Linked DNA regions of Caenorhabditis elegans. The protein of the gene in region 3 purifies or fractionates together with the protein of the main gene of each other region. This does not show direct contact. Each region holds a gene or a part of one and is shown on either strand. Other genes may lie near its edges. The genes, in order: dct-16, gst-27, asp-14 and Y47G6A.21.

What was found.
Region 1: the proteins of asp-14 (region 3) and dct-16 fractionate together in Caenorhabditis elegans (co-fractionation; one large-scale study listed by BioGRID). This does not show direct contact.
Region 2: the proteins of asp-14 (region 3) and gst-27 fractionate together in Caenorhabditis elegans (co-fractionation; one large-scale study listed by BioGRID). This does not show direct contact.
Region 4: the proteins of asp-14 (region 3) and Y47G6A.21 fractionate together in Caenorhabditis elegans (co-fractionation; one large-scale study listed by BioGRID). This does not show direct contact.

What each region holds. Positions count from the first base shown.
Region 1 is NC_003283.11:20,495,468-20,502,426, reverse strand, and holds dct-16 (DAF-16/FOXO Controlled, germline Tumor affecting), read left to right. Parts: upstream 1-3,369; 5' UTR 3,370-3,418; coding exon 3,419-3,431; intron 3,432-4,184; coding exon 4,185-4,444; 3' UTR 4,445-4,503; downstream 4,504-6,959. Other genes in the region: dct-14 (DAF-16/FOXO Controlled, germline Tumor affecting), read left to right, coding at 1,933-1,998, 2,052-2,168, 2,222-2,374; B0250.5 (putative 3-hydroxyisobutyrate dehydrogenase, mitochondrial), read right to left, coding at 5,256-5,453, 5,999-6,116.
Region 2 is NC_003280.10:15,162,959-15,169,702, forward strand, and holds gst-27 (glutathione transferase), read right to left. Parts: upstream 2,751-6,744; 5' UTR 2,712-2,750; coding exon 2,573-2,711; intron 2,473-2,572; coding exon 1,982-2,472; 3' UTR 1,932-1,981; downstream 1-1,931. Other genes in the region: ptr-20 (SSD domain-containing protein), read left to right, coding at 206-514; gst-26 (glutathione transferase), read right to left, coding at 907-1,397, 1,447-1,585; gst-28 (glutathione transferase), read right to left, coding at 3,313-3,803, 4,296-4,434; gst-29 (glutathione transferase), read right to left, coding at 5,635-6,125.
Region 3 is NC_003284.9:6,441,824-6,449,870, forward strand, and holds asp-14 (Peptidase A1 domain-containing protein), read right to left. Parts: upstream 4,842-8,047; 5' UTR 4,784-4,841; coding exon 4,687-4,783; intron 3,872-4,686; coding exon 3,743-3,871; intron 3,478-3,742; coding exon 3,341-3,477; intron 3,295-3,340; coding exon 2,899-3,294; intron 2,854-2,898; coding exon 2,694-2,853; intron 2,639-2,693; coding exon 2,554-2,638; intron 2,506-2,553; coding exon 2,409-2,505; 3' UTR 2,362-2,408; downstream 1-2,361. Other genes in the region: K10C2.7 (uncharacterized protein), read right to left, coding at 1,279-1,401, 1,446-1,610; fah-1 (Fumarylacetoacetase), read right to left, coding at 5,009-5,299, 5,404-5,657, 5,783-5,938, 5,985-6,229, 6,723-6,949, 7,002-7,085.
Region 4 is NC_003279.8:3,555,038-3,563,192, reverse strand, and holds the start of Y47G6A.21 (DeHydrogenases, Short chain), read left to right. Parts: upstream 1-3,385; 5' UTR 3,386-3,396; coding exon 3,397-3,561; intron 3,562-4,164; coding exon 4,165-4,257; intron 4,258-4,624; coding exon 4,625-4,804; intron 4,805-4,861; coding exon 4,862-4,968; intron 4,969-5,031; coding exon 5,032-5,095; intron 5,096-5,790; coding exon of another isoform or gene 5,791-5,960; intron 5,961-6,019; coding exon of another isoform or gene 6,020-6,152; intron 6,153-6,196; coding exon of another isoform or gene 6,197-6,578; intron 6,579-6,646; coding exon of another isoform or gene 6,647-6,836; intron 6,837-6,906; coding exon of another isoform or gene 6,907-7,258; intron 7,259-7,311; coding exon of another isoform or gene 7,312-7,408; intron 7,409-7,459; coding exon of another isoform or gene 7,460-7,612; intron 7,613-8,155. Other genes in the region: Y47G6A.22 (DeHydrogenases, Short chain), read left to right, coding at 349-370, 423-655, 1,609-1,788, 1,840-1,946, 2,924-2,987, 3,041-3,199.

The DNA.
Region 1 (6,959 bases), on a different chromosome or scaffold from region 3:
ACACAGAACTGTTCCTTTCAAGCAATTGTTTTCCAACATCTAGTAGCTCATATCCATGAATATATATTTTGGAAAACACAATTTTCCTAGAACAAATTCAACAAGTATTAGCATCAAATTTTTTAATAGTATGTAGAGTTAGAGGCCAGTGACGATTATGTTAAAAACACTCAAATTTTTAGATTTTCAAATTTTCATAGTCAGTGAAAACTTACTACATAGTTAGGTGAGGTTAGGTGAAGTGATGTTACTGCTTACAGTTAACGTGTCAAAACTTTGAAAAGTTTCACACATGTTAACATGTTTTCATTCTCTACACCTGTTTAAATTTAACGTTGTGAGTTGATCAGGTGCACCGGTTTCCCGAAAAACTTCACCGCAACCCAATACATTTCAACGATGACTGACGCGTACCAAGGTGGAAAAGAATCTAAAAAATATACAATTTACTATATCATTGATGGTTCCATAAAGGTTAGTTGGAACCATTTTTTCACTTTGATAATTTGATTTTTAGGCTTGCCTCGCAATTCTTCTTCCCATCCTCACAGCTCTACTAGTTGGACAGCTGAGAAAAATGATCGCTCTGCGGAAAAAAACGTCTTCGTTGAGAAATGATAATGGAAGGCAGGTTTTTCAAAATTAGGCCTTGCTTTCTTTAAGAACAATTTTCAGTCAATCTTCGGATTAAATCACGAAGCTTGTAATTCTGATGGCAATTTCATTTATCACTGCTGAATTGCCAATTGGGATTCTTTATATCTCCACAGGGTTGCTCGCTAGTCATCCGGCAATTGTGTAAGAGAATATAATAATAGTCATTAAACGGGCGGAGTCTAATGGAATTTGCCTACAAGTTGGTCAAACTTCGCGCTAAATTTTTTGGCCAAAATCTTCTAATAAATAAAAGGCAAACATCAAAAATTGTTTGAAAATTTAAACAAGTCGAGATAATATTTTCGGCGTTTCAAAATTTCATCAAGCATTCAATTTTGTTTGAAATTTTTGGTTAAATTTCAGGCAAAAAGTTAAAGAAATTTCTAGTTTAATAATGAAATGTTGAGAATTTTTTGTAAATTTTCTAAATTGAAACAAAAATCCAAAAACTTTACACACAAATTTATAGGACGAGAATAAAGTTCAACAACTGAGATTAAAGTTCTAAAATTTCCAAACAAAATATATATTTTCAATTCAAAATAGAAATATGGAATTATTTTTAAAAAACTGCAGTTTTCTAATTTCAATTTTTAAACTTTTTTTTCTTAAAACTTCAGCAAAAATTAAATCAAGTTTCAAGTATTTTCTGTAAATTTCAATTTATCACTTCTTATTAGAATATTAGATTATCCTTTTGGTAATTTTTTTTAATATAATGGTATTGCTTCATCAAAATTTATTTTTCAGAACTACCATACGCTATTTGATGGATATTTTCACGTCATTTGTTGCCATTAACGCCACCGTTCATTTCTTAATTTGCCTCGGCGTAAACGCTCATTATCGAGACACTGTTAAAGAGCTATTCCGCTGGAAATTTGAAAAATTGAGGAAAACTTCAGATGACTCAACTATGAATTCTCAGAGTGTTGGCCAACCTAGAATTGTCGCTTGATCAATTTTTTTTCAAATTTTTCTACTTTCCAATTTTTATTTTGAACCCCGTGTCCTCTTATTATTTTTGAAATTTAATTCCGCATCCCATCAAGATTACCCTCCGACCAGAACCTCGTCAGACCCCCACCCACACCAGCGCACGTGATAATTAATCATAGTATACCTATACTTGTTGACTATATCCCCCTTAATTCCCATGAGAAGCATCTCATGTGTCTTAATTGAGGGGTACACAGCGAGTTGTAAAGAGGTTGTCCTTAACAACCAAATTTCTGAATCTTTTGCAAACTCATTGCTTTGAATTTCACAACTAAAATGAACCCCGATGCTCCGAGTGTCGAGGAGAAGCTCACCGTCGATGAGTGCTACGTTATTTCCAAGGTGAGCTGAGATTTATGCTAACAAAAAAGCTCGAGTGTTTTTCTTATTTTCAGGAAGATTGGTTTGAGCCAATTTTCTGTAAGCCGAAGCTTATCCCGTTGAAGACTGTGAAAATGCGAGAGATCGAGAAACGACGCAATGAAAACATGGAGAGGGTCAAGGCGATAGAGGTGAGTTTTTTTTTGAGAAACATATAATTTACTTATTTACATTCTTTTTTCAGACAGCTTCAACGTCAGAACAAAAGAACCCAGAGGTGGTACCCAAGGAGCCAAAACCAGAAAAGCCTCGGAACCCGGAAGAGCTCAAGAAACAGAATGAGTTGAACAAGATCGATTTGTGGATCGCCGACGAAGATCCGGCACGTCGCAAGTGACTATTGTCTACTTGTAAACAATAATCCTAACAATCCTATTTTTAACTCCAAACTTTTCGCGATTTCAATTTTCAAAAAACATTCCAGACAACCTCTAAACCTACATGATCATCCTAGTACTTCTTGGCCCAAGCGCTATGTCCAAAAAGTCAGGTCTACCCTATGTACTGCCGTGTAGTCAAACAAGCTTCACCATCATGCCATTCACCTTCTTCCCATCATTTCTCCTGCCCTCTTATCTCTAAAAATTGTGATTTCTGATTATTTCAATAAATAATAAATATGTTTTGCGTTGAAATTCTGGTCATTGAGATTTTTTAGGTGGTCTGTAATCATGGGCTCTTAAAACTTTGATACACCTGAGCTTAGGCCAAAGCTAATCCTTAAAAAAAAGCTAAGCCTAAACGCTAAACCGAAGCTATTGGGATTATTCATGTGATGCCAAAAAATGCACAAATGATTTTTATACAGTTTTACCCTATCCCTAAAAACGAAGGCATTTTTTTTAATTTTTCAACATTTTTCGACATTTATCTACATCGGCCGACAGCCCGCTTCACATGAAAAATGTAGAAAAATGTAGAAAAATGCAAAAAAAGCATGTGTTTTTTTTACATTTTTCTACACACATGAATAGATAGGGGAAAAATGTAAAAAATACATTTTTGCATTTATCGTCATCTCATGAATAACCCTATAAAGCCTAAGCCTGGGCCATAGTTTTTCTGGAAAATATCAGACATTAATCTCTATTTGCCACATGGATTCCAGCAAGTTTCCACGTTAAAATCTTCGCGAGCCGTCATATCACTAAAATTCCTTATCTACATAGTGTTCTTGACACATCATTAAATTAGTTGCTCGCGGAGCAACAACTGCAAAAACGGTCTTCGTTCGGAACACGTAAGCATGCAAACACGCGCTGGAAGAGCAAAGTGCATGCGGTCACAAACATTTTTTCTCGGTATAAAATGCCAAGCGGGGTGCCACATTTCGGCATAGGCATCAATTTTCACTGCTGCTGCTGCTGAATCAACACTAAAAATGGCCGAGAAACGTGAGTTTTTGGATGTATGCTTATTTTTTCAAGAATTCATGTTTTTTGTTCAATTTGAAAAAAATTTAACAATAAGACCGAAAATGGCGAAAAATTGAAATTTTCAATTTTTGTTGATTTTTCGGCAGAAAAAAGTATGTAATTCTTTAGCAAGTTATTGTTTTGATTTTTTACATGTAATTGTACAATAACCTCATATTCCAGATATTATAGGATACAACACCAAAAAATGATTTAATTTTTTACATTTTTAGATGTCAGGCTGTCCCATTTTGGTGAGATCTACAAAAAAAGCGGGAATTTAGACGCAGACTTCTCAACTGATTTTACATGGTTAAGAACATGCTGACACGTCACATATTTTTGGAAAAAAATTCCCGCATTTTCTGTAGATCAAACAGTAATGGGCAGTCTGACACCACACGCTTCCAATAAAAAAAGTTTATTAAAAATATCGGAAACTACCCGAACATACAACCAACTTGAAAAGTACAGCACACACGTGGTGTCAGGCTGTCCCATTACGGTTTGATCTACAAAAAATGCGGGATTTTTTAACCCAAACAAATGTGACGTCAGCACGTTCTTAACCATGCAAAATCAGTTAAGAAGTCTGCATCTCAATTCCCGCCATTTTCGAAGATCTAAGTAGATCAAACCACGCAAATTACCTAATAAAAATCCAAAAATTGAAAATTTTCGGATTTTTTGTAGGTCTCCTAATACCCTACTAATATGTAAAAAAAATTTCAGTCGCAAAAGCCAAGGAGGAGATGACAGCCGCCGGTCTCTCGCCAGAATCCATCGAGGGAATTCTCAAAATCGCCGCCACTTACAAGAAGAAGGACGATGAGCCAGAACGTGATGCTGCCACTTCTTTGGCAATTATCACAAAAATGATCGGAGAGACCAATGAGTATATTAAGGGACAATCGGAAGCCGATCAGAAGATCTACGCTGTCATTATTGAGAAGAAGAAGGCCGAGCTTATCGAGGCCGCCAAGAAGCAATAGATTTTCTTTTTGTTTTGAAATTTTATTCTATTATGAGCTTGTAATAAAATAATTTTTGTAATTTTAAACTTGTAATGGTCACATACTTTTGGGAAAAAAATTCCCGCATTTTCTGTAGATCAAACAGTAATGACACCACGTATTTCTAATGAAAAAGTTCCTTTAAAATTTCGGAAACTGCCCGAACCTACTTGACCTACTTGAAAAGTAATGTACATACATGGTGGCTGTCCCATTACGGTTTGATCTACAAAAAATGCGGGATTTTTTTGCCCAAAAAGTGCACGCTTTTATCCATGCGAAGTCAATTGAGAAATCTGCATCTCAATTCCCGCATTTTTCGAAGATCGAAGTAGATCGAACCACGCAAATTTAATTCAATTATGAGCTTGTAATAAATAATTTTTTTGTAATTTTGAACTTGTAATGGTCTTTCCAAGTGATTTTTCATGGAAAATATATTCTTGTAAATTTTTTAAAAATCTCTATTTTTTCTTATAAAATCAGCTTTTTTTTCGATAAATTTTTGTGACAAAAATTGATTTTTTAAGATTAATTTTTCGATTAAAACCCTGAAAATTTTAAATTTTTTTTCGAATTTTTTCGATTCGATTTTTTCCCAGACAGTTTTTCGAATTTAAACAAAAAATTCATAAATTTCTATTTTTTTCTACATAAAAAACACAATTTGGCACATAGAAAAAAGGCGGAAAAATCACATAAAATATGCTTAAAAATTGGAAAAATCCTGAAAATACGGGGCTTCAAATCACATAAAATATGCTTTAAAAATTTCAGAAAAAACCGAAAATTATGAGTTTTGTTTCTTCAAAAACTGATAGACGACACCGAAATCCTTTGCCTGGTACTGTGGATCACGAGCCAGAATACGGTAGATTTGATGAGCCAGTGAGCCCATTGGAGTTGGTGCTTGAGTATTTGTTGAAGCATTTTGAGCCAATGAAAGGTCTTTTGCCATTAGAGTCGTTCCGAAGCCGCCAGCATAACCCTGAAATTGGAAATTTTAGGTTGATCGGCGGAATTTAGGAGACTTTCATTGAAATTTTTGAATGAAATTTCTGGCAAATCGGCGAATTGGCACATTGCCGGAATTGAAAATTTCCGGCACACCGGCAAACCGGCAATTTGCCGAAAATGAAAATTTCCGGCAAATCGGCGAAACGGCAAGTTGCCGGAATTAAAAATTTCCGGCAAATCGGCAAACCGGCAAGTTGCCGAAATTGAAAATTTCCGGCAAATCGGCAAATTGAAGGAATTGAACGTTTCCGGCAACTCGACAAACCGGCAAGATGCCGATTTGCAAAAATGTTCCAGATATTCGATTTTTTTTTTGAAAATTTCAACTTTTTTGAATTATTTTTAAATCAAAATTCCTATTAAAATCATCAAAAAATTGGAAAGTTATAAATTTAAGCTAAAAATTCAAAAAATGGCGAAATTTAATTTTTTAAATGAATTTTTTGAGGACAGAATCAAATTTTGAGATTTTTTTTTTGCATTTTTACGGATTTTCAGTCAATTTTCCATCCATACCCTGCACGAAGGGATGTTTTCAATGACTCCGGGTACTGGATTGTACGTGTCCGACGACCAACACCTTCCTGACGATGTATTCACGATTCCGGCAAGCGCTTTCGCGTCGAGACCCATTCTGTAAAAAAAATTTTGTTGAATTTTTTAGAAAAATATATTTAATTTCAATTTTTTGCGCTGGTCGTTTTACTTTGCTGATGTGGGAAAAAAAATGTTTTTCAAAATTATTTTTGACGAAACTGTTTTTTTAGAATTTTGGTGGGCGGCATTGTTTCGTCAACAAATTGGGCAAATTGGCAAATTGCCGGTTTGCCGGAAATTTTCAATTCCGGCCATTTGCGGGTTTGCCGGAAATTTTTAGAGGGAATTTTTTTCTGAAATTTTCAAAAAATAAACTGATCAAAACTAAAATTTGCCGAAAATTTTGCAAATTCGGCAATTTGCCGGTTTGCCGATTTACCGGAAAATTCAATTCCGGCAATTTGGCGATTTGCCGATTTGCCGGAAAATTCAATTCCGACAATTAGCCGATTTGCCGGAAATTTTCAATTCCGGCAATTTTCCGATATGCCGGAAATATTCAATTCCGGCAATTTGGCGATTTGCCGGAAAATTCAATTCCGGCAATGTGCCGATTTGCCGGAAATTGTTAATTCTGGCAATTTGCCGATTTGCCGGAAATTTTCAATTCCGGCAATTTGGCGATTTGCCCATTTGCCGGAAAAAAAAGTAATGAAAAATATTAATTTTAATCAGAAAACTTGAAAAATTGCCTGGAAACGTTTTTTTTTTCAATTTTTGAAATGGTTTGAACTTTCGGCAAAAAATTGAATTTTCAGCAATTTTTGCTTCAATTTTTTTTGCATTTTCCAAAATCGTTCACCATTTCCGTATTTTCGGCGTTTTTCGAATTTTTATAATTTTCAGAAGTTTTCTGGACAATACTAAATTTATAAAGTAT
Region 2 (6,744 bases), on a different chromosome or scaffold from region 3:
ACGTAGATCTACAAAAAATGCGGGAGTTGAGACGCAGAGATTTCAACTGATTTTCAACACATTTCTCTTGGCGAAATATCCCCGCATTTTTTTTGTAGATCAAACCGTAATGGGACAGCCCCACACGATGTTTACATACTTCACACTACATCCACCATACCAAACAACCGTACCCCATTTTCAAACCAACTTCATATTTTTCTAGGAGCAACTCTGGAGATCACATAACTACGCCGAGACTCGTGACCGTCTTCTAAGCACCTTCCGCGGAGTCGCCTGGCCAGTAATGCAGTCCGGGCTCTCCACGATTCTTGGCATGTTCCCATTGATGTTTGTACGTGCGTATGTTGTAGCAGTATTCTGGAAGACTGTGATCCTGGTCGGTATACTTGGAATGCTTCATGCTCTCATTCTGTTGCCAGTAATATTCATTTTAACGCATGACATTAAGCTCTTATTCCGACGGAAACGTGCAGTTGCTCCTACTCCGCATTCGATGGAATTGGCTTCATAGAGCGTTTTGTTGTAGTTTGTATGTTTTTTTGAAAACCCAGGGTATTTTCTTTTCCATTGATTGTATTATCATCTAATACGGGTTGTTCACATCTCCATTGATTGTTTGATAACATGTTTGAAATAAAATTTTCGTACTCAATAGTAAAACAGTACACAGCTCTATGTTTTAGGTTACATATGAGTATGAAATAAATGAAAAGAGTGGTTCGAAGCACTTGAGAATTATCTTCGGTACTCAAGCAGCACTGTTACTGTAGCGAACAGAACTATGAAATTTTTAGAAAATTAAATTACACTAGTGAATTTATATTCCCACAATAATTTGAATTTTTACAAGGAGATATTAAAACTATTTATTGTATTCAATTATCAAACAATTTACAACAAACTTTAGTACTGAGTATCTGGGCGAATCTCGACCCACTTCTTGATAGCTGGAATCGCATAGACCTTCTCCCGAAGAGCAACCAACTTTGGCTCTCCCGCTGGAGTGAATAACTGATTTTTGTCCAAAGTTGTGATGCACTCCACAACTACAATATCGGCAAAAGTGAGCCCATCTCCAACCAAGAATCCTGACTTGCTCTTCTCCAGGATCCCATTGATGATTACGAAGAATGCATCTCTAGCCGGAACGACATCTGATTGCATGATCTTTGCAATCTCCTCAGCTGGCTTTCCAGCGGCATGTGCTTTTCCGACTTCTCTGAAGGATCCCATGAAATCCTTGAATTGGTCAACGATGGCATCTGCCCAAGCTTGCTCTTCCGGGGTTTTTCCAGCATATCCAAATTTATTGGCAAGATAGCGGATGATTGCAGCAGATTGTGGAATTTCAAATCCATCGACGGATAGGACCGGGACTTGTCCGAGTGGAGTTTCTGAAATACTTACTTTGAGTTTAGTGTTTGCCACATATAAATGACCTACTTTCTTTCAGCTTTTCCCATGTTCCATCTCCATGGGTCATACGGAAATCCTCAAATGGAACATCGGCAAGATGGAAGAGAATACGAGCAGCTTCTCCGTAGCCACGAGCGTTGAAATAGGTGAGTTTGTAGGAAGGCATAGTGATCTGTCTGTTTTAAATATAGGTATGTGTGATAGTGTGATTCCGATATCAAACAATTTTTCGAAATAGCATTGGAAAAATGCAGTCTTTCCGCATAGTCTTATCAAATATTTGACAGAAAAAGTCAAACCATGATTAATTTTTACAAAGTATTTCAGAGAAAAATAACAATTTAAGGTCAATTGTACAATTTTAAAAAATGTATCCTGGACCATAAAATTTTTTTAACTGTAAAATTGAACAGAACTGAGTTTAGCTTCAATCTAGATAGAAAAATAAAGTTAAAAATAGAATTAACACGTTCAGAATTAACGTATTTGAAAATAAAATGAGATTACATGAACATAACATAACGATTTATTGAATTAATATATCAGCACATTTAAAACAAACCTAGTTCAGGGTATCTGGACGAATCTCAACCCATTTCTTTATTGCTGGAATCGCATATACCTTCTCTCGAAGCGCGACCAATTTTGGTTGCTCCGATGCAGTGAAGAGCTGATGTTTGTCCAAAGTTGTGATGCATTCCACAATCACAATATCTGCGATGGTTAGACCATCTCCAACTAAAAATCCGGACTTGCTCTTCTCAAGGATCTTGTTGATTATCACAAAGAATGCATCTCTTGCCGGAACGAGATCTGACTGGATGATCTTCCCGACCTCCTCGGCAGACTTTCCAGCAGCGCTTGCTTTTCCCACTTCTTTGATTGATACCATAAAATCCTTGTATTGATCGACGATAGCATCAGTCCAGGCTTGCTCCTCCGGGGTTTTTCCAGCATATCCGAATTGCTTGGCAAGGTAGCGGTTGATTGCAGCGGATTGTGGAATTTCAAATCCATCAACTGATAAGACTGGGGCTTGTCCAAATGGAGTTTCTAAATAGAAACAAAAAATAATGTTCAATTTCTGTCTTGGCTACTTTATTTCAGTTTTTTTTAAATTTTAATATGGCGTTTCAAGGTCGCTATTACTTACTGGCTTTGAGATTTTCCCATGTTCCATCTCCAATGGTCATTCGGAAATCTTCAAATGGAACATCGGCAAGATGGAACAGAATACGAGCTGGTTCTCCATATCCACGCACGTTAAAATAGGTCAGCTTGTAGGATGGCATTTTAGTTAAATGAAAACCACAACCAGACAGTTTTCTTGTGTGATTCTGCAAGCAAAATGATTGGGAAAAATTCCTCCGCAAAGTGTTATCAAACTGTCGTGGAGATCAATAAACCAAAAACCAAGAAATGGATGGGGGGGGGGGGGGGGAGGTGGGAGAAGAGTCAATAAAAATTCGGACGGAGAGTCAATAAAATCCAAAATTCTACTTTAAGTTAAAATAAAAAATGTCGAACGAGGTAAAGTGCCCGCAATCCAATGAACGATAATCGAAGGAGTGGACATCATTCCGTTTTCTATTCGCCTCTTCCATGCACTTGCAATAAACAGAACTTGCAAGTGTTTGGTAGAGAGGCGGTGAGAGGGCACGAACCTGTGGCAGTCGGAACGAGAGACCAACTCGTTATCCAGCAGGCCACGCGTGCACTTGGCAGAAACGGTGTTGTTGAGAATGATGTTGAGTGCGGGTTTTAGAGGAAGAAGGCAGCTGCGATTGAGAGGAAAATTGCAAATAAGAATGCAAATAGTGGTGCATTTTAAAAATTTATTCGAATTTGTAATTATATTACTTCATTGAACAAAATTTCAAGAAAATTTTCGATTTAGTACTGAGTATCTGGACGAGCCTCTACCCACTTCCTGATAGCTGGAATTGCATAGACCTTCTCTCGAAGAGCAGCCAAGTTTGGTTGCTCCGAAGCAACAAACAATTGATTTTTCTCCAAAGTAGTAATATTCTCAGAGATGACAATGTCCGCGAAGGTGATACTGTCGCCGACTAGGAATCCTGACTTGCTCTTTTCAAGAAGCCCATTGAGAATCTTAAAGTACGAATCTCTAGCTGGAATCACTACTTCAGAAGTGATCTTTGCAATTTCTTCCTGAGATTTTCCAGCGAAATGTGCCATGATACGTTCGCGGAATGATCCCATGAAATCCTTGAACTGATCAACGATGGCATCTGCCCAAACCTGCTCTTCTGGGGTTTTTCCAGCATATCCGAATTTGTTGGCAAGGTAGCGGATTATTGCAGCAGATTGTGGGATATCAAATCCATCAACGGTCAGGTAAGGTACTTGACCAAATGGGGCGCCTGAAAAAATATATATATGTGAGTAAGTATTTGGAGCATTCTAAAAATTTCAAAATTTTCAGAAATTTTCCAAAAAGCTCCAGAAGTTGTAAAAGTTTCTAGAAAAAAATTTTTAGATTAAAATTCGAATCCCATCCAAAACTTCATCGTGAAAAATAATGTTTTTTTTATTGTGAATTTCCCGCTAAAAAAGTTTCGAAACAATTACATATACATAGCCCTAAAACTATTTTATAAAAAAAATTGATTTTTCCGGCGAAATTTTTTAAATAATTTTTTGTTTTAATTTGGAATGCCTTTTTTACGAAAAATGATGCCTACAATTTTTTGAAAAAAATTTAACCCATCCAAGACCGTGTGCTCAGAAAATTTGGCTTTCCCATTATTGTCAGAACTTTTTTTAAAATTTGAATGCCATCCATAACTTCTTATCAAAATATCGCGCTATAATAAGATAGGCAGGCAATCGGTAGGCCCCAAATCTCCACTAACCGTCTTTAAGCTTCTCCCATGTTCCATCTCCGTGTGTCATACGGAAGTCCTCGAATGGAACATCTGCCAAGTGGAAGAGGATACGTGCGGCCTCAGCGTATCCACGAGCATTGAAATAGGTGAGCTTGTAGGTAGGCATTTTTGACAACTTTTCTGTAATGAAGTAGTATTTATACGCAAAAAAGGAAAACTGGAACGCCGAAAATAATTGGACAACAAAATAATCGCATCAATTATTTTTCTGTACAACTTTGCCAACCCTTTTTATACTATATGTTTACCGTCTATGTCTCTGCCTTCACGTGTGCTGGCAGTTGATGCTTGGTTGTGTTTGAACAATTTGAAACGATTGATCTTTTGCCGTTTCCTGCCACTTTGGTTTTTGGTTGTGGTTTTTGGTTTTGTTGAAACTAGGACTTCAAAAGCCTGAGCCTGAGCCTGAGCCCAATTTGACGGTTTGCCGATTTGCCAGAAGTTTTCAATTCCGGCAATTTGTAGATTTGCCGGGTTTTCGGAAAATTTAATTCCGCAATTTTCCGGTTTCCGATTTGCCGGAGGTTTTTAATTCCGACAATTTGCAGATTTGCCGATTTGCCGAAAATTTCAATTCCGGCAATTTTCTGGTTTGCCGATTTGCCAGAAGTTTTCAATTCCGGCAATTTGTAGATTTGCCGGTTTCTCGGAAAATTTATTTCCGCAATTTTCCGGTTTCCGATTTGCCGGAGGTTTTTAATTCCGACAATTTGCAGATTTGCCGATTTGCCGAAAATTTCAATTCCGGCAATTTTCTGGTTTGCCGATTTGCCAGAAGTTTTCAATTCCGGCAATTTGTAGATTTGCCGGGTTTTCGGAAAATTTAATTCCGCAATTTTCCGGTTTCCGATTTGCCGGAGGTTTTTAATTCCGACAATTTGCAGATTTGCCGATTTGCCGAAAATTTCAATTCCGGCAATTTTCTGGTTTGCCGATTTGCCAGAAGTTTTCAATTCCGGCAATTTGTAGATTTGCCGGTTTCTCGGAAAATTTAATTCCGCAATTTTCCGGTTTCCGATTTGCCGGAGGTTTTTAATTCCGGCAATTTGCAGATTTGCCGATTTGCCGAAAATTTCAAGTCCGGCAATTTGCCAGTTTGCTGATTTGCTGGAAGTTTTCAATTCCGGCTATTTGCCTATTTGCCAGAAAAAATCGTTTTCCGCCCACCCCTGATTTGTGGTCTCGCCCGTTATTTGTCCGCGGTCCCCGCCAAAATAAAATTGTTCTAATTGTAAGTATAAAAATAGTTGCATGAATATTTCTGAATTTATTTCAATTTATTCACAAAAGAAATCCAGAAACTAAATTAATAAATAGTATCTGGTCGAATATCCACCCAGCTTTTGATTGCCGGAATTGCGTAGATCTTCTCCCTGAGAGCTGCCAATTTCGGGTGCTCCGATGCATCGAAAAAATGAACTTTCTCCAGGTTGGTAAGACTTTCCACCACGACAATATCAGCAAATGTGAGCCCATCTCCAACGAGAAATCCTGACTTGCTCTTTTCAAGGAGGTTTGTGATGATTTCAAAATACGAATCTCTAGCAGGAATTGCAACTTCTGAGGCAACTTTGGCAATTTCCACATCCGATTTTCCAGCCTTTTGTGCAAGTTTAAACTCTCTAAATAGGCTCATGAAATCTTTGAATTGGTCCACAATAGCATCTGCCCAAGCCTGCTCCTCTGGAGTTTTTCCAGCGTATCCAAATTTATTGGCAAGGTAGCGAATAATTGCAGCAGATTGTGGAATTTCAAATCCATCCACATATAGAACTGGAACTTGGCCAAATGGAGTTTCTGGAAAAAATAAAATAGTTGGAAAATTTCAGATAAATATTTGTGATTGAAAATTTCTTGGGCCCGTTTTTTGACAAATACTTCAAATAGACTGTAAATTTTCAATAAGAAATTTTTGAACAAAAATTTAGGAAGAATTTCGTTTGATCTGAACAGTATACATTATTATTATTATTGAATACGTTTATTTAAACGTGAAAATAAGAGAAAAAAAAAGAGGAAAAATTATAAATTATAAATTATATTGAATATTGTGGAATAATACAGAAAAAGTGGGAACGGGTTGAGGCTTTGTTACATAACCTTATCATTTAATAATGTGTCCAAAAAATAGGGATAAAGTCTGTGTCTGATGAACAAAAGTTAAGAATAACTGCTACATAACACTTTTAATGGCAAACGTCAACTTTCAGCACGATTAGAATTTTTTTCAAATTTTCGACTAAAATAAATAGGATTTTCAAATTGAGCAAATCTTTTCCTACATTTATATAATAATTTTAACTTAAAAAAACCGATTATCATACAACAATAGGAAGTTTTGTAATTTGAACGTTGGAAATCAAACAAGGTTTCAATATAATTTACCAATTTTGAAGTTCACCTCTAATTGTAAGAA
Region 3 (8,047 bases):
ATTGTGAATTCAACTGGCTCTTTGTGATATTTCAATATCACACAGAAAAAATCATATTGTATTTTATATACCATTCAGTTTATTTATTATATACAGAAGTTCATATTACAGTCATTGTTCCCGACATCAAACATTAGTTCCATTCTGCCTTGTCCGTTATAACGCAACTATTGAAACTGTCAAAAATTATGTGTTCTTAGAATTTTCAATTATATCAATGTGAATATTGATGTTCATAAATTCAAACTTCTTTTTACTTTACATATTATTTTAGATCAAGAAGAGAGTAACCTTCACAACAGTATTTTAAACTCAATATTGCGATTTTTCACTTCTTCGGAATACCTACAGTATGTTTTTTGAAATCACTAAAAATTTGTTAATTTCAGTTGAAAACATTGTATCTGACACTCAATATTTTATATCAGATGAAAACATCATATTTGACGCAAAATTTTTATTTCATTTAAAAACATCATATCTGACGCGCAATTTGTTTTGTTTAAGTGGAAAACATCATATTTGGCGAGCAATGTTTCATATCAGTTAAAACATCACGGTATTTGTAAAGTTTTAACACGTAAAGCTGAAATAAAGTACTAGCATGTTTTGGACACTTTTTTAAAATATTGCAACAATAAACTAATTGTTTTAAAGCAAGTGTTTTCAAATTGTTTCCTTTTGCTGCATTGGCTCTATTTTCACACATTCCGAAATGTCGACGATGACAAAGTGCATATTCAAATTTTAGAGAAGCAGTTAAAAAGTATATTTTGCAAATCGTATTTGTTCCGTGAAATTTATCATTATTCGGTGTATATTCAATATGTGTTGAAATGCTCGATTATTCATTATTTAACATCTCATATAGTGTCAACAACGAAGAGAATTAGTTGCAATTGTGATCAGGATTGAGCATATTATACAAATTTACAATTTTGTTCACGATTGTTGCGACTTCGTGCCGATTTTTTTTGTTGCATCCTTGAGAAGATTCCATGTGTTGATCTAAGCAGGTGACAATTGCGTCTTGATTTTGACGGAGAACGTCCAACTCTTTTAGAGTATTTCTATTTGTTAATCCATAATTGTTTGAGCAAGAAACGTATTGGTGATATAGCTCGTCCTGAACAATCATTTTACATACACCAAAAAAACCATTTTAAAAGTACCTCTTTCCAACAGTCACTCGGACTCATTTCTGTGGAAAAGCTATGAACGATTTCAGTGATTTTAGAGGTAATTTCATGAATTTTTATTTGTGCACTACACACATTTTCATTGTTTTTTTGTACATAATGACATCCATCTCACTACATTATTAAGTGAAAGCAGCTCTTCATGAAGAGTTGGTTGTCTTGTTGAGTTGTTTTGATAGTTTTGGATAATCGCCAAACTTTTCTGAAATATTTTACTGTCACCAACTTATTTTCTGGGAAACTTACTGAAAATGAGCTGCCGCAATTTTGGAATTGAGTTTGCTCCTTTACGTCTTTACATTCGTAATTTAGTTGGTCTTTTATAGCAGCCATGTTCACAATGTCGGTTGCTATGTCAACCACTCTGGCATTAGCTTGAGCTAAAAAAACCGCAACAAGTATAATTAGCATGGTGAAGATTTTAATGAATTGTTGCAAGACAGGTTCTTATATAGTTATGTGTTTCAAGCAGTATTTATGAGACAGTTTGAGTCACAATACAAAACAGACAATGTAACAAATAAATCGTTTTGAATATGTCGGGTGATGTTTGATGATCTTTTTTATTAAATGGAAAATGTCATTTTGTATTTTATGACAACCATACAGTAATTGTTAGATGTGAATGTTTACATTAAAAAATGATCATTCGATACAATGAGTCAAACTTCGTCAGTCATTATCCAATAAGCTTTAGAACAGAATAATGATATGTTTTTACTAACATTTCTACTGATAATTTTTAAATAGAAAAATTTTTTAGTCCCTTTTGTTTGTTTGACGTTATTTGGACCGACCGGTTGCACATGCAACAGCGAATGCTTTAACTAGCCTACTATGTTTAACTTCTTCCAACCGCCCTATGTAGAATCTGCTTCTAACTACATAGTAGGCAAGTTAGTTCGTTTCAACATTCAGAAAATGATCAGTTTTGGAAAGTTTAAGATACTTTCTTCGAAATCTTTGTATATTTGAGAATATAAAACGTTCTGAAAGTTTGGGAAAGTTTTTGAAACACTCTAGAACTTTGTAGAACATTACTATGTGTAGATCAGAAATACTATCAAATATGTTCTTAAACCCATTCCCAACTATCCCAATAGTCTTACAATGTTTTCAGAAATTTCTCAAATGAATCTGAATATGAACCGCATAACGGCACTTTTTAAATTTAATGATTTATTTTTATTCCACTTTCAAATATTAACACTAATCTTGGAGAAGCGCTGGAGTGAACCCGACTCTTTGCATGATTGGATCGAAATATGTGCAACGTCCACGATACAATGGAAGACCGAGAATGATTCTGAAAAATTTTTGCATGATTCAATCCATCTTCTCAATCATTCCTTACCTATCAGTGGTTGGAATAATTTGGAGTCTACATGTTCCGAAGAAGCTAATAACAAGATCTCTTTCCGTAATTGAGACTGTTGTACCTGAAAATAGAGCAATTATGTAAAACAAGTGGAAGGTACACTGAAATCGACATACCAGAAACAAATCCAAAAGTGAGGGTGATCTTAGTGTTACATGGAACAATTGTTGGGTAGATAGCATTCATAACGTTTGTGCTGATGCCAAGGGAGTCAAACACCTGGCTAATGTAAGTTTTTGGAAGTCCAATTTGGGCGGTGGTGGTGTCAAGGTAAGTCTGAAATTTATATTTGTTGATACATAAGAGATGCAATAAACTCACTTGAATGTACTTGTTGTTGGAGTTGGTGGCGGATGATCCTACAACTTTGAAGGAAGACATCGTGAGTTGGTATGCATATGCAGAAGCCAATGGGACGTATGTTGGGTTTGGAGCACAGTGCACTGGATCAAATCCTCCGTAGTAAATAACTCCGTGGGTTCCGAGATCATCAGTTTGGTTGAAGTGCTCGAGCCAGATGGAGTAGAATGTGCCCGAAATGTCTCCAGCGTTAACACCTTGAACGAATGGTGAGTTTCCACCGATTTGCGATGAGGCTGTGAATCCCAATCCCAAAATTCCATCAGCACCCAATCCATCCATCAAAAGTCCGAGGTCGGTAGCTTGCATAAACTTCACGCCTGGAATGGTGATCAAATCAGTTTTGCGGTCTCCGATCTGGAAAAAAATTGTTAGGACTTAAAAAACAAATTGAAAGTATTACCACAACAGTGTCTTTTGCATCAAATCCTTGGAAAGTTCCAAGATTATTCTTGTACGTGTACTTATTTCCATATGCATAGTAAGACGACGACTTTGCTTGGTTGAATCTTCTCTTGTTGTAGCAATTATTTGCGGTCTCTGAAACATTTTCCAGTTTGTATCTTTTTCACTCTTATCAGTAGTGTGGAGTTTTCAAAATTAGGAATGTTATGTGCACTAAGTGATAGTCTTTGACCGATAATCAACATAAAAAACGATTTTAGTGCCGATATAATAGGGCAAATTGTCAGCAAAAGCTGACAAAAACTGTCATCATTTCGTGATTATGTTCGAGATGTTTTATACATTTAAAAGTCGTAAAACTATCAAATTGCAATCAAGAAAGCGATTGGTTGAAACTCACTGCAACTCATATCTGGAATAACAATGTCAGCGGTCGAAGTGTCAATGACAACAGTGAAAAGTTGTCCTGGTGTTCCCATGGTCAAGTTAGCAACGAAGAAGGTTGAGGTTTGCTCCAGAGTTTGTCCTCCTGGAATTAAACTTCAGTTTTGAAAATCTAAGGAACTTGTGTATTATATACCAAAAGTAATTTTCAGTACAAAACAATTCACTAGTGGAATGTAATAGATTTAGAAAACCATTATTCCTAACAAGGGAAGGCTCTGAACTCGTTATCGGACTTCGTTACGCCACTATATACATTCGATAGAGAATAGTTACAGATGATCACTCCAAAAATTTAGCTGCTTCAGAGCAGGTTTGATCAAGTTACGACATTTTGAAAGTGCCAAAATACCCCTTTTTAAAAATTCCAAAAAAATCAAAAAAAAAAAGTTTTTTTCTAAAAGTTGATATAAAATGTTTTCAAATAGTTGGAAATGATGGAAAAATCATACCACACAAGTTTCAGTTCATAATTCTCAAAACAACCAATATATAATTGGAAATCAACCGCAACATTGTGTTTGTAAGTTATAAGCTTTATTCTAAGTTAAATACATTCTACTCAATGTCGTAAAGGAAATAATGTTTGTTCATTCACTGTACATTTTATGTGGCTTCGGGATATATATATACGTGCTCTTAAAACAACTTACCGCTCTCCACTATTATTACTCCCAGTTACGTGTCTATCCCTATTTTGAATAAAATATAACGTTAATGTACCATTAAATGTTCATGTTCAATCAAACGTGATCGAAATTTTTATACGCTTCGGAAAATAATTCAAAAAAAAAATCAAAAATAATGCTTAAATGTTCATTTTAAATTTTGTAAAGGCTTCCATTTACAAACACCAAATTTCACTTTATCTGAAACAAATCTGTAAATTCTCATACTCACCTTTGGTAATGTTGGTAACTGCAGCATGAACTTTGAAAGGAATCACAAAAGCTGAGGTCGAGGCCACAAAGGCCAAAAGCAAGATTGTCTTGATCATGATTGAACTGAGAATGATTTCCAAGCAACCAGCTCTCCTATTTATTCGCTCATGCTTTGAACTGATAACATAGAAACCAAAAAATCGTGACAAACCCCTATCATTTTCGACACTGCACACTTCCACTTTCATCACTTTTCGTGGGCTTCAGAACTTTATTCGACGAGATACTACTAACAAACGAGAGAATGAAACAAAAAGCAAAACGATTTAATTACGATGATTTTAGATATCGGCTGGCAGGACTTTTCCGCGGCACTCTCCGAAACCAATTCTGACTCCATTCTTTTCACAAACTCCAGAAAGGTTGACCTCATCTCCGTCCTTTAAGAACTTTCGGATTTCTGAGCCAACTGGAACTTCTTTGGCTCCGCGCCACGAAAGCTCGAGCATGGATCCATATGCACCTTCTTCTGGTCCAGATACAGTTCCTGATCCCAAAAGATCTCCAGCGCGGAGGTTGCATCCATTGACGGTGTGGTGAGCAAGTTGTTGTTTTAGAGTCCAATACAAATGCTAGAAATTACAGTATTGTAGTTGAGAAAACCTTAACGAGCGTTTATGATCCAATTTACAGTGAACAGTGTAGATAATATCGTTTCTACTAAACTTGAACATACCTTGAAGTTAGTTTTACAGACAATATGGTCCACAGCATCTCCTTCTGGACGGATACTGACGGCCAAATTGATGTCAAGGGTAAATGGGTCATCGTGATGGAGATATGCTGGTGGAACTGGATCTTGTACTGGATTCTCAACAAAGTATGGACGAAGAGCTTCAATTGAGACGACCCATGGAGAAACAGTTGTGGCAAAGGATTTAGCAAGGAATGGGCCGAGTGGAACGTATTCCCAAGCTTGGATATCGCGAGCTGGAAAAGTTTTTTTTCGGATGAGTATGGAGCAAACTTGAAAATAACTACTGTTGAATTTTCTTGTCACCAAAATGTCGAGTTTAAATGTTTTTGTTTGATATTTAATTAACATCGTTACTCACCACTCCAGTCGTTCATGAGCACAACTCCAAAGATACGATCCTCAGCCTTCTCGATTGGAACACGAGTTCCCAATTCATTTTCTGGACCTCCCACAAAGAACGCCATCTCGAGCTCAAAGTCCATAAGCTTTGATGGACCAAACGATGGAACCTCAGCTGAAAGCGGACACATTTGCATTATTGGTGCAAATCTAAATCTTACCATCTGGGGCCTTAGTTTGTCCAACTGGTCTTTTCAAGTCTGTTCCAGATACAACGATTGATGAAGCTCTTCCGTGGTATCCGACCGGAAGCCACTTCCAGTTTGGCATCAGAGCATTTTCCTTTCCACGGAACATGATTCCGACGTTGGTGGCGTGATGGATGGAGGAGTAGAAATCGGTGTAATCTCCGATTTGAGCTGGAAGGTGCATTGTAGCATCGGATTGAGCGACAAGAGCCCGGCTTCTGTAAATAAAAACATAAGAATATTATTACAAAGTTTCTTGGTTGTTTTAAACAGAGTTATATGTAAGTTGTGCGCAAAACGTACAAAGCTTCTAATTACAGTATGAGATTTCAATTTATAAATCAAAAATTAATATAAAAATGTAGGTTTTTCTCGATTTTGAAATAGATTTTTTTAAAAATAATGCCTACAAGTCGCCAACAAAGTTTAACGATATATTTAAAGTCAAATGAAGTATTTCAAAAACTTTGACGGGTTTCCAGGCGTTCTCAATAAAATAATTTTTTTCAGATTGACCGAACATTTTCACATACTTCTATATACATTTCAACTTGCCAACTTGCTGCACAGTATTGATTCAACTTTGCAATTATAAACTAACGATAAAAATTAAAACTTGTGAAATAGTTGTTTAGATTTGGTTAGTAGATTATCAGACACACTTTGTACTACTTTTTAACTTTTTCAAATTTGTTTTGCCAACTTATTCACCTCAAATGAGCGTTATCCCTAAGAACAGCACAATCCTCTGAGAGCAGTTGTTGGATTCTTGCACGAGCTTCCAACCAGGCTGGACGTGGCAGTGCCATGAACGCGTTCAATGTGCTCTGCTTGAAAACATCCTGATGTGCCTTCAATTGAGGTCCGTCAAAAAGATTGGCAATTTCTGCCAAGTTGAGGATTTGATCTCCAATTGCAACTCCAATGTGGCGGGAAGACTGAAAATATTTAGTTTAATTTTGCTTTAGAAATAATTATTTATACACTTACGTCAGCCTTTGTTGAGAAAACACCATACGGTAAGTTTTGAATTGGGAAATCCGAGTTTTGAGGAACAGAAACGAAGGATTTCATGATTTAGCCTGCAAAGCAATACAAGTTTTGAAAAATGGAGTTGAGTAGACAGCAGTCTGTTATGTCTCCGAAACTGTACACGCATGCGGCGTTGAAACAGAAAATAGCATACAGGTTGGAGAGGGTGCTAGTGACAAATACAAAAAGGAGTCGTACACGCATAGGCCAAGGTCGATACACGACTAAACGACCACCAATAAAAACAAAACGATAACCAAAAAAAATGACTGCACACAGACAGTGACAATGACAGATGTGCACCACTGAAACCGCTATATAAGGTCTCACAAATCTAATTGAAAAGATAAGATGATGATAGTGACGTCAATTGGATAAAACAATAGAGTATATCAGATAAGTTTTGACAAGAGAGAGAAAACTACATTGGATGCAAATTGAATTGCGAAACAGTCACGTGATGATTTTTTCTTGAATGTTTGGATGGCATTATTCTATAGTTGTTTGTTTGCATTGGCAATGATACTGTTTCATGAATAAAAAGCAAGTAGGAGTATGACGATTTTAAAGAGTGGAGAACTAGTGTTTTTTAGAGTTGCTTATGTTTATAATATAGAAATCTCAATTCCATGAAGATAAATTGCTACTAAAACGCTTTTTATATCAGAAGAAAAACGGTCTCTAGCAATTTGTATCTTAGAAAACTCTTACCACCATTTCGAGTAGAGAAAACGTTTCACAATCGGATGTAGGTTTTTAACCTGTAGATTTCAGATCACCACAGCCTGCTGAGCAGGTCAAAAGTTGTAACTTAAAGGTGAGTTGTATTGTTAAATATTATCGGTAATTGATAAACAGGTACGGCGAGTGAAATGGTCAAAAAAATATAAAAATAATTTATTTCTATAATAAAGGGTTGTAATACACAAGAAACATTTTTTAAGGTTAAACATTTTGAAAATACAAACACCAACAGCGATGAACTATTGAATTAACACTTTCTC
Region 4 (8,155 bases), on a different chromosome or scaffold from region 3:
ATTTATCGCGACGAGACCAGGCACCGTAGCTTTGGCACAAAAATAGCAATTTTTTCAAATATCAACTACAGTAACCCACAGTTTGACATGGATTTTGAAATAAAAAAGTTTGCGCGTCAAATGTGATGCATTGAGTCATGTACCTAATGCACCACAGTTTACGCGCAAAAAAATTTGGAAAAGTTGAACTCCTGATGTGTGATGTGTTATCAGGAGCGGAGAAAACAAAATTTGTATTTTTCTCTGGGTCTCGTTTTTTTAGGATGCCGTTTATTATTTGTTTCAAAGATTTTTTTTTCAATTTTCAATTTTCAATTTTAATTTTAATTTTGATTTTGCAGGTCAACCATGCCCGTCGCAATTGTCACAGGTAATAATGACTCTAAATACTTGAAATTCCATTCCTCTCCCCTCTTTTCCAGGTGCAAGTTCTGGTATTGGACGTGCGGCGGCTCTTCTTCTCGCCCGGAACAACTACAAGCTCTCACTTACCGGACGGAATGTGGCGGCTCTCAATGAGCTCGCCGGGCAAATTGTCAGTGCTGGAAGTGATAAGAATGATGTACTGGTGACCGCTGTTGAGTTGGCTTCAGAAGAAGCTCCGAAGACTATTGTGGATGCGACTGTGCAAAAGTTTGGACGAATTGACACATTGGTGGGGGGTTATTTTTGGAAAGTTATAATAAAATTTAGAACTATTACGGGAACATAAAAATAAATAAAATTCTGAGAATTCGTACTGCACAACATATTTGACGCGCAAAATATCTCGCAGCGAAAACTACAGTAATTCTTTTAATGACTACTGTAGCTCTTGTGTCGATTTACGGGCTTGATTCTCATAATCAAGATAATAAAGCCCGTAAATCGACACAATCGCTACAGTAGTCATTTAAAGAATTACGGTAGTCTTCGCTACGAGATATTATGCGCGTCAAATGTGTTGCATTACGCATTTTCAGGATTTTGTGTTCCCGTTATAAAAAATTTTAGTTCAAAATTCTTTTTGAAAACGTAATAATTGCGAATTTTGTAAAAAAATGCACAGAAAATTATCCAAATGTGAAGTTTTGCGACTACTATTGCGTTACAAATACGGTATCTGGTCTCACCACGACTAATTTTTGCAACTTGTAAAAAGGTGCGCGCCTTTAAAGAGTACTGTATTTTCTTTTGTTTCTGCGGAATTTTCATCGAATTTTATACTTTTCGATAAAAAACTGTTTGAAAAATTAAAATTTATATATAAAAATCGAAGGAAAATTTGAAAAAATTCTGTAGTATATGCGAGTACTGTAGCTCAGTTTTGCACCCAAATTTAATTATTTTTTTTAAAATTAAAATTATTTTTGTCGCATTTCACATTAAGATTCAGAGATCTTAGAATTTTTATTTTTTAAAATTTTTTGAGAAAAAAGTTTGCGCGCTTTTTTAGATACTTTTTTTTTCGAATTTTCCAAATTTCTGCCTAAAGAGTTTTCTCATTTTTATTTTCGAGAAAAATTGCACCAACCTGTAAAAAGAAAATATGGGGATAACGAAAACATTTAAAAAAACTCTCCAACCGATTCTTGAATTATTAAACCCTTAAAATATTCTAAATTTCAGATCAATTCGGCCGGGATTCTGCGTGCCGGACCAGTTCTCGATTCTGGAATTGAAGTCTACGATGAGCTAATGAATGTGAATGTTCGTAGTTTGATCCGCCTGACACGTGCAGCTCTTCCACATATTATTACAACAAAAGGAACTGTTGTCAATGTCAGCAGTATTAATGGACCGTGCCCTGTATGATGTTATTTTTTTGTTGAAAATAATTTTCAAATTCGCAATTTTCAGTTCCCAAATGTAACCTATTACTGTATGTCCAAGTCGGCCGTAGATCAATTCACAAAATGTTTGGCTCTCGAAATGGCTCCGAATGGAGTTCGTGTTAATGCTGTTTGGTGAGTTTTCTCGCGATTTTTGCCAAAAAACTACGGTGCCAGGTCTCGAAGCGATCGATTCTCTTTAAGGAGTACTGTAATTACGATTTTTTCGGTTTTTAGGTTTTTTAAAGAAATATTCGAAAAATAAGAAAACATATACATTTCTTCCAAAAAGAAGAAAAATTGTCAAAATTTCAAGATATTTTGCGAAAAATCGGAAAAATATTTATTTTTGAAATCGAAAATATTTTTGGCTTTTTTTTTTTCGAAAAATCGAAAAATTATCGGAAAATATGAGTAAGAACGAAATCACAAAAAAAAACTAGGAAAATTTCCTGAAAATTCTAACTTTTTGCCGAATTTTCATAGGTTTTCTTGTTTTTGTTCAAATTTTGATGCATTTTTATATTTTTTGAATAAAAACGAATTTTTTAAAAGACAGGAGCTAAACTATGGAAAATTGCTTTAAAAATCTCGCAAAAACTAGGAGTAAGTAACTACAGTACACTACAGTACTCCTTTAAAGGCGCACGCACTTTTGAATTGAAAAAAAAAAGATCGCTTCGAGACCGGTTACCGTATTTTGGTGCAAAAATCGCTAACTTTCTCATTTTTTGTCGAATGAAACGCTAACAACACACGTATTACGGGAACACAAAATTTTGGGAATTCGTCTTACGCAACATATTTGACGCGCAAAATATCAAAACTACAGTAATCCTTTAACTGACTACTGTACTGCTTGTGTCGATTTACGGGCTCGATTTTGGAAATTAATTTATTTTCTTCGTTTCTTCGTATTATTTTCTCATTTTCAATAATCTTTTGATAAATAAAAAAACCCGTAAATCGGCACAAGTGCAACAGTAGTCATTTAAAGAATTACTGTAGTTTTGATATTTTGCGCGTCACATATGATGCGCAATACGCATTCTCAAAATATTGTGTTCCCTTAATAAACCCATATAAATTTGTCATTTCTCCAAAAATTTCAGCCCAGGGGTCACCGTGACCAACCTGCATCGTACATCTGGTCAAGACGAGACAACATATTCTGCGGTATAAAACCTGCTGCACTGACCTTGACAAATAAATATCATCATTTCTTTCAGTTCTTGGAACGTAGTAAAACGACACACGCACTCGGCCGTCCCGGTGATGCCAATGAAGTTGCTGAGGCAATCTATTTCCTCGCCTCTGAGAAAAGTTCATTCACTACTGGAGAACTTCTTCGTGTTGACGGAGGCCGCGGAATCATGCATCCGAGATAAATATTAGCTTTTTTGTCTCATATTGAGATTGTTTTGAACTTTTATCATGTAATAAATAGAGAGATACATGTATTTTTTTTAATTGTGTTTTTATTGAATCCTTTATAGTGGTTTTTTCCTTGCTTAATTTTTTTTTTTTTTGAAAAAAAATCGATTTTTTTTTGATTCAGTTTTGAATTTATTCAGAGTATCCGAAAATGCCAGTCGCCATCATCACCGGAGCAAGTTCGGGAATCGGAAAAGGCACGGCTCTTCTGTTCGCGAAAAAAAAGTACCAACTCTCGCTGACCGGAAGAAATACGGATTCTTTGAAGGAAGTCGCAGCACTATGTATTTCAGAGGGTGCAATTTCGGCTGATGATGTGAGTTTTATATTTTAGGAACTGTGACGGAAAGTACAGTATTACGGGAACACAGAATTCTGAGATTGCGTATTGCGCAACATATTTGACGCGCAAAATATCTCGTAGCGAAAACTACAGTAATCCTTCAAATTACTACTGTAACTCTGGTGTCGTAAATCAACACAAGCGCTACAGTAGTCATTTAAAGAATTACTGTAGTTTTGATATTTTGCGCGTCAATTATGTTGTGCATTACGCATTCTCAGAATTTTGTGTTCTCATGATAGCAGTTATCACAAAAAAATTTCGATTTTTTTTCCTCGTTTGTAATTTTTGGAAACACCGTTTTTTTGTCGAAAAAACAAAAAAAATTATTTTTTTAATTAAAAAAAACCGCCGCCATGGTCTTGACACATACAAAAAAAAATATTAAAACTCATCGAATATCAAGAAGTATACTAAAAATCATTAAAAATTACAAACACTTGCAGGTACTGTAGCTATGAATTTTATTATGTCGTTTCGAGACCAAAAATCGCAAAATTTTGCAAAAAAAGGGGATTGAACGTTTTTAGGTGGAAAAAATAGCGACATCAATTAAAAAATCGATTTTCATTCCAGATTCTGATAACTGCAGTGGAGCTGAGCTCTGATGAGGCGCCCAAAGCAATTGTGGATGCAACTGTACAAAAATTCGGAAGAATTGACTCATTGGTGAGGATATTCAGTTCGAAACAATTTGAAACTATCGAGAGAAAAGTTTTTCGGAAATTTAGAGTTTATCCATTTATTATTTACAAAATTTTCAGAAACGCGTACATAGAGGATCACGGATTTATTCGGTTGGGTCTTGCCACGAAAAATGTTTTTGCGCGGTGAGACCCAACTAGATAATTGCGTGCGCCTTTAAGTTCGTATCCCAGGAACAATTGCGGAACTACAATAGGTTTTTTTTCAATTTTATGAAGTCAATACTATTCAAAATTTAAACTTGAAAAATAAAAAACTTCACTTTTCCAGGATCCATAGTTTTTTTTTCGAGAAATTTCCCATTCTACCCTTAAAATATTCTAAATTTCAGATCAATTCGGCCGGGATTCTGCGTGCCGGACCAGTTCTCGATTCTGGAATTGAAGTCTACGATGAGCTAATGAATGTGAATGTTCGTAGTTTGATCCGCCTGACACGTGCAGCTCTTCCACATATTATTACAACAAAAGGAACTGTTGTCAATGTCAGCAGTATTAATGGACCGTGCCCTGTATGATTTTTCTTTTGGAAATTAAAAAAAAATATATTTCGAATTCGCAATTTTCAGTTCGCTGGGGTCACATATTACTGTATGTCCAAATCGGCCGTAGATCAATTCACAAAATGTTTGGCTCTGGAAATGGCTCCGAATGGAGTTCGTGTTAATGCTGTTTGGTGAGATTTAAATATTTTCATATTAAGAGCCCAAAAATTGAGAATAATTAAAATAAATTTCAGCCCAGGAGTCATTGTAACCAACATTCATCGAGCATCTGGGCAGGATGAAGCTACATATGCGGCAGTAAGTCTATTCTAACGACACGCAAGAAGTAATGGGCGGAGTCGGAAGCGCAACTCCGCCGCACGATTCTATTTTAATTAAAATTTTAACTGTTTTTTTAAAATATTCACAGCAAGATCAAATAATTAAAGTAATTCTAAAGCAAGATTTCGATTATTCAACCTGACAAATTAAGATAAATTGATTGTTTGATTTTTAAAAATGCGGAAAAATAGACGAAAAACAGTGCGGCGGAGTTGCATTTTCAACTCCGCCCATTATTCCTTGCGCGCCCTTTTCTGTGGGTCAAATTCTACACAGCGACATTACGGGAACACGAAATGCTGAGAATGCGTACTGCACATCATATTTGACGCGCAAATTATCTCGTAGCGAAAACTACAGTAGTTCTTTGAATGACTACTGTACTCGGTAGTTTGGCTCCCTTGGCGCGCGACGAGGGTGCGACTGGCGCGCGGACGGGGCGCGACTAGACTACTGTCTCGCGATCTAGTCGCACAATTTTCGCGCGCCGAGCGCATTTCTTTCGCACACACTACGCGCCCGGTTCGATTTTTTTCTCGCTCCCGCCGATTTTCATATTAAAATTGAAATCTTAGATTAATAAGAATTGCGTTTATTACAACAACGAACAATGGAAAAATAAAATTAAAAAATTAACGGATTGAAGACAGCTTGGCTGCAGGTCAATTGAATCCTAGACGGCGAGAGACTGGTGTTGCAAACCAGCTAGAGCTACTATGGCAGCGCCGAATGTGATTTTGGAGAGAAGATTCGAGTCGTTGAGGTAGAAAACACGACGGAGATGTGGATAAACTGCCATCATGGCGAGCTGCTCGAAGATCGGTGAAGAGGATTGACCAATCTGAAATATTAAGACGGTGAAACCGCAGTTGAAGCTTATAAGCTTATAAGCTAGCCTACATTGCCCGTCGAGAACTTGATTGGTTTCGGGAGCTCAAATTGTCTACAGAATTCCTCCGGCGGCACTTCCCAACGCTGGTCAACTTCTTCCCGTTCAACTTTTGTGGCAATCATGACACACGGCGTTTTTGTTCTGTAAATATTGAAATTATTGGGAATTGGATCTTGAAAACCCACCTATAGAAATATTTCTGATAAACTGTGGCGCAGAACGCGAATGAATTCGAGACATCATAGAGGAAAGCGACGACGGCCGCCGACGTCTCGCCGGACCCCAGCGCATCTTGTGGTGAGAGAACATCAACTTCACGCAGAAGCAGGTACTTGCTCTCCTCTTTCACTCGGACACGATTGATAACGAATGGAGAATGACGACGTCCTATTTGTGCTACATCAGCCATTCCACGTCCTGCTAGGGATTGCATGAAGACTGTTTTTCCAGCGTCCTTGGCTCCGACTACCAGGCATTGGAAGACTTTTCGGTCGGTTCCATGGTTTTCTAGATCCTTCTTCCGTTCACGAGTCACTCTGATCGAGTCGAGTGTATTCCCAGCACGACCTGAAATTACAAAAACTGAATAAAATGAATTTTTAATGAAGATCTTTTTTTTCAAAATTTCCACCTGCCTGGAATTATATTTTTATTGAATTGTCATTTTTTCGTGCAAATTCGTGCAGTTTTAGGTCCGCTTCTCCTCCTTTATATAAAATTTAGTGAAAATCTCCAATTTCGCGGACTTTTACGTGCCGAAGTGATCGGAAATCAGTCAAAATTGGACGGACAATAACGGAAAAACGAGGGATAAGCAATCAAAAGCTGAAATAAAATGTATTTTATTTTTTATATTTTAACCGACATCTTTGGTAATAACTGGAACCGGGCATACTGAGAAGAGATTCTGAAGTTCACTCGGAGAAAGACATCCATCGTTGTCTCGATCGCAAATTTTGAAGACTCGAATCAGTGCTTTTCTGGCGCGATCTGTCAGTTGTTTGGTGTCTGCATCGTATAATGGCCTTGTTGGGTAGATCACAGCTTTCTGGGCGTAGTAGAAGATTTCTGAGACGTTTTTCATCGTGCGAGCCGAGCATTCAACGCAAGTTTCGACTTCGGTGTTTGCCTCCATTATGGGGAGAATCTTATCAGTATTATTTGCAGTCCCATCTGATTTGTTGCCTACCAAAATGACCGGAGTCTTATGGTACTCTCCGAAGGACTGGCGAATCAAGGGTAGCCACCTGAAAATTCAAAGTTATTGATTTTTTAACAGATAATTTCAATGAAAACGTACTTTGTTTGAATTCCATCAACAGTGGACTCGTCTGTAACCGAGTAGACGACACAAATGACATTCGCCTGGCGGATTTCCAACACAATCCAATTTTCATCTGAAAATTGATTGAATTATTTGATTTACATGTTTTTGGCAATTTATTTACCTTCTTCCTTAATCGATAAGTCCACGATACTCGTACAATTCCGAAAAGCTTGATTTTAGAGATACTTTTGTTATTGATGGAACAATCGGTGAAAATTTCACGGTCACCATATTTAACTTGAAGAAAAGCCCTGAAACTATACACTTTAGGCATGTTACTGTACAAAACAAAAAGAAAATAATATTTTTACAATGTTGGAAACAATTAAATAAAAATTATCGAAAATGTGCCAAAAAATTATAAACTGCAAGCGTAATAACGGATTGTCGTTCGTGTTGCGCGGACGGGGCGCGGAAGGGGTGCGGAAGGAGTGCGGAATGGGCGCGGATGGGGCGCGGTCAGAACGCGGACGGCGTGCAAAAACAGTTTCTCTTCGCGAACCTGTTACTTTCAGACAGCCTCATTGCCAAAACAGGTTGATATATATATCTTCACTTATATGTTATATATGTATGAATGATGTAGTTGATATATAATAATTGCCAATCTAGTCTCTTTCAGCTTTCAGTAATATGGTGCCACAATACTAAACGTATAAAATACAACAACGAGACATGTGATCCAGAAAATTAGTTTGAAGATGTTCACACAAACTACACATATATATTTTATATATTTCTATTGGAAAATATACCTGGCATTTAGGGGAAACTTTCTTAGGGATGTGTGCATCGTGCCTCCACAATGCCAATGCTG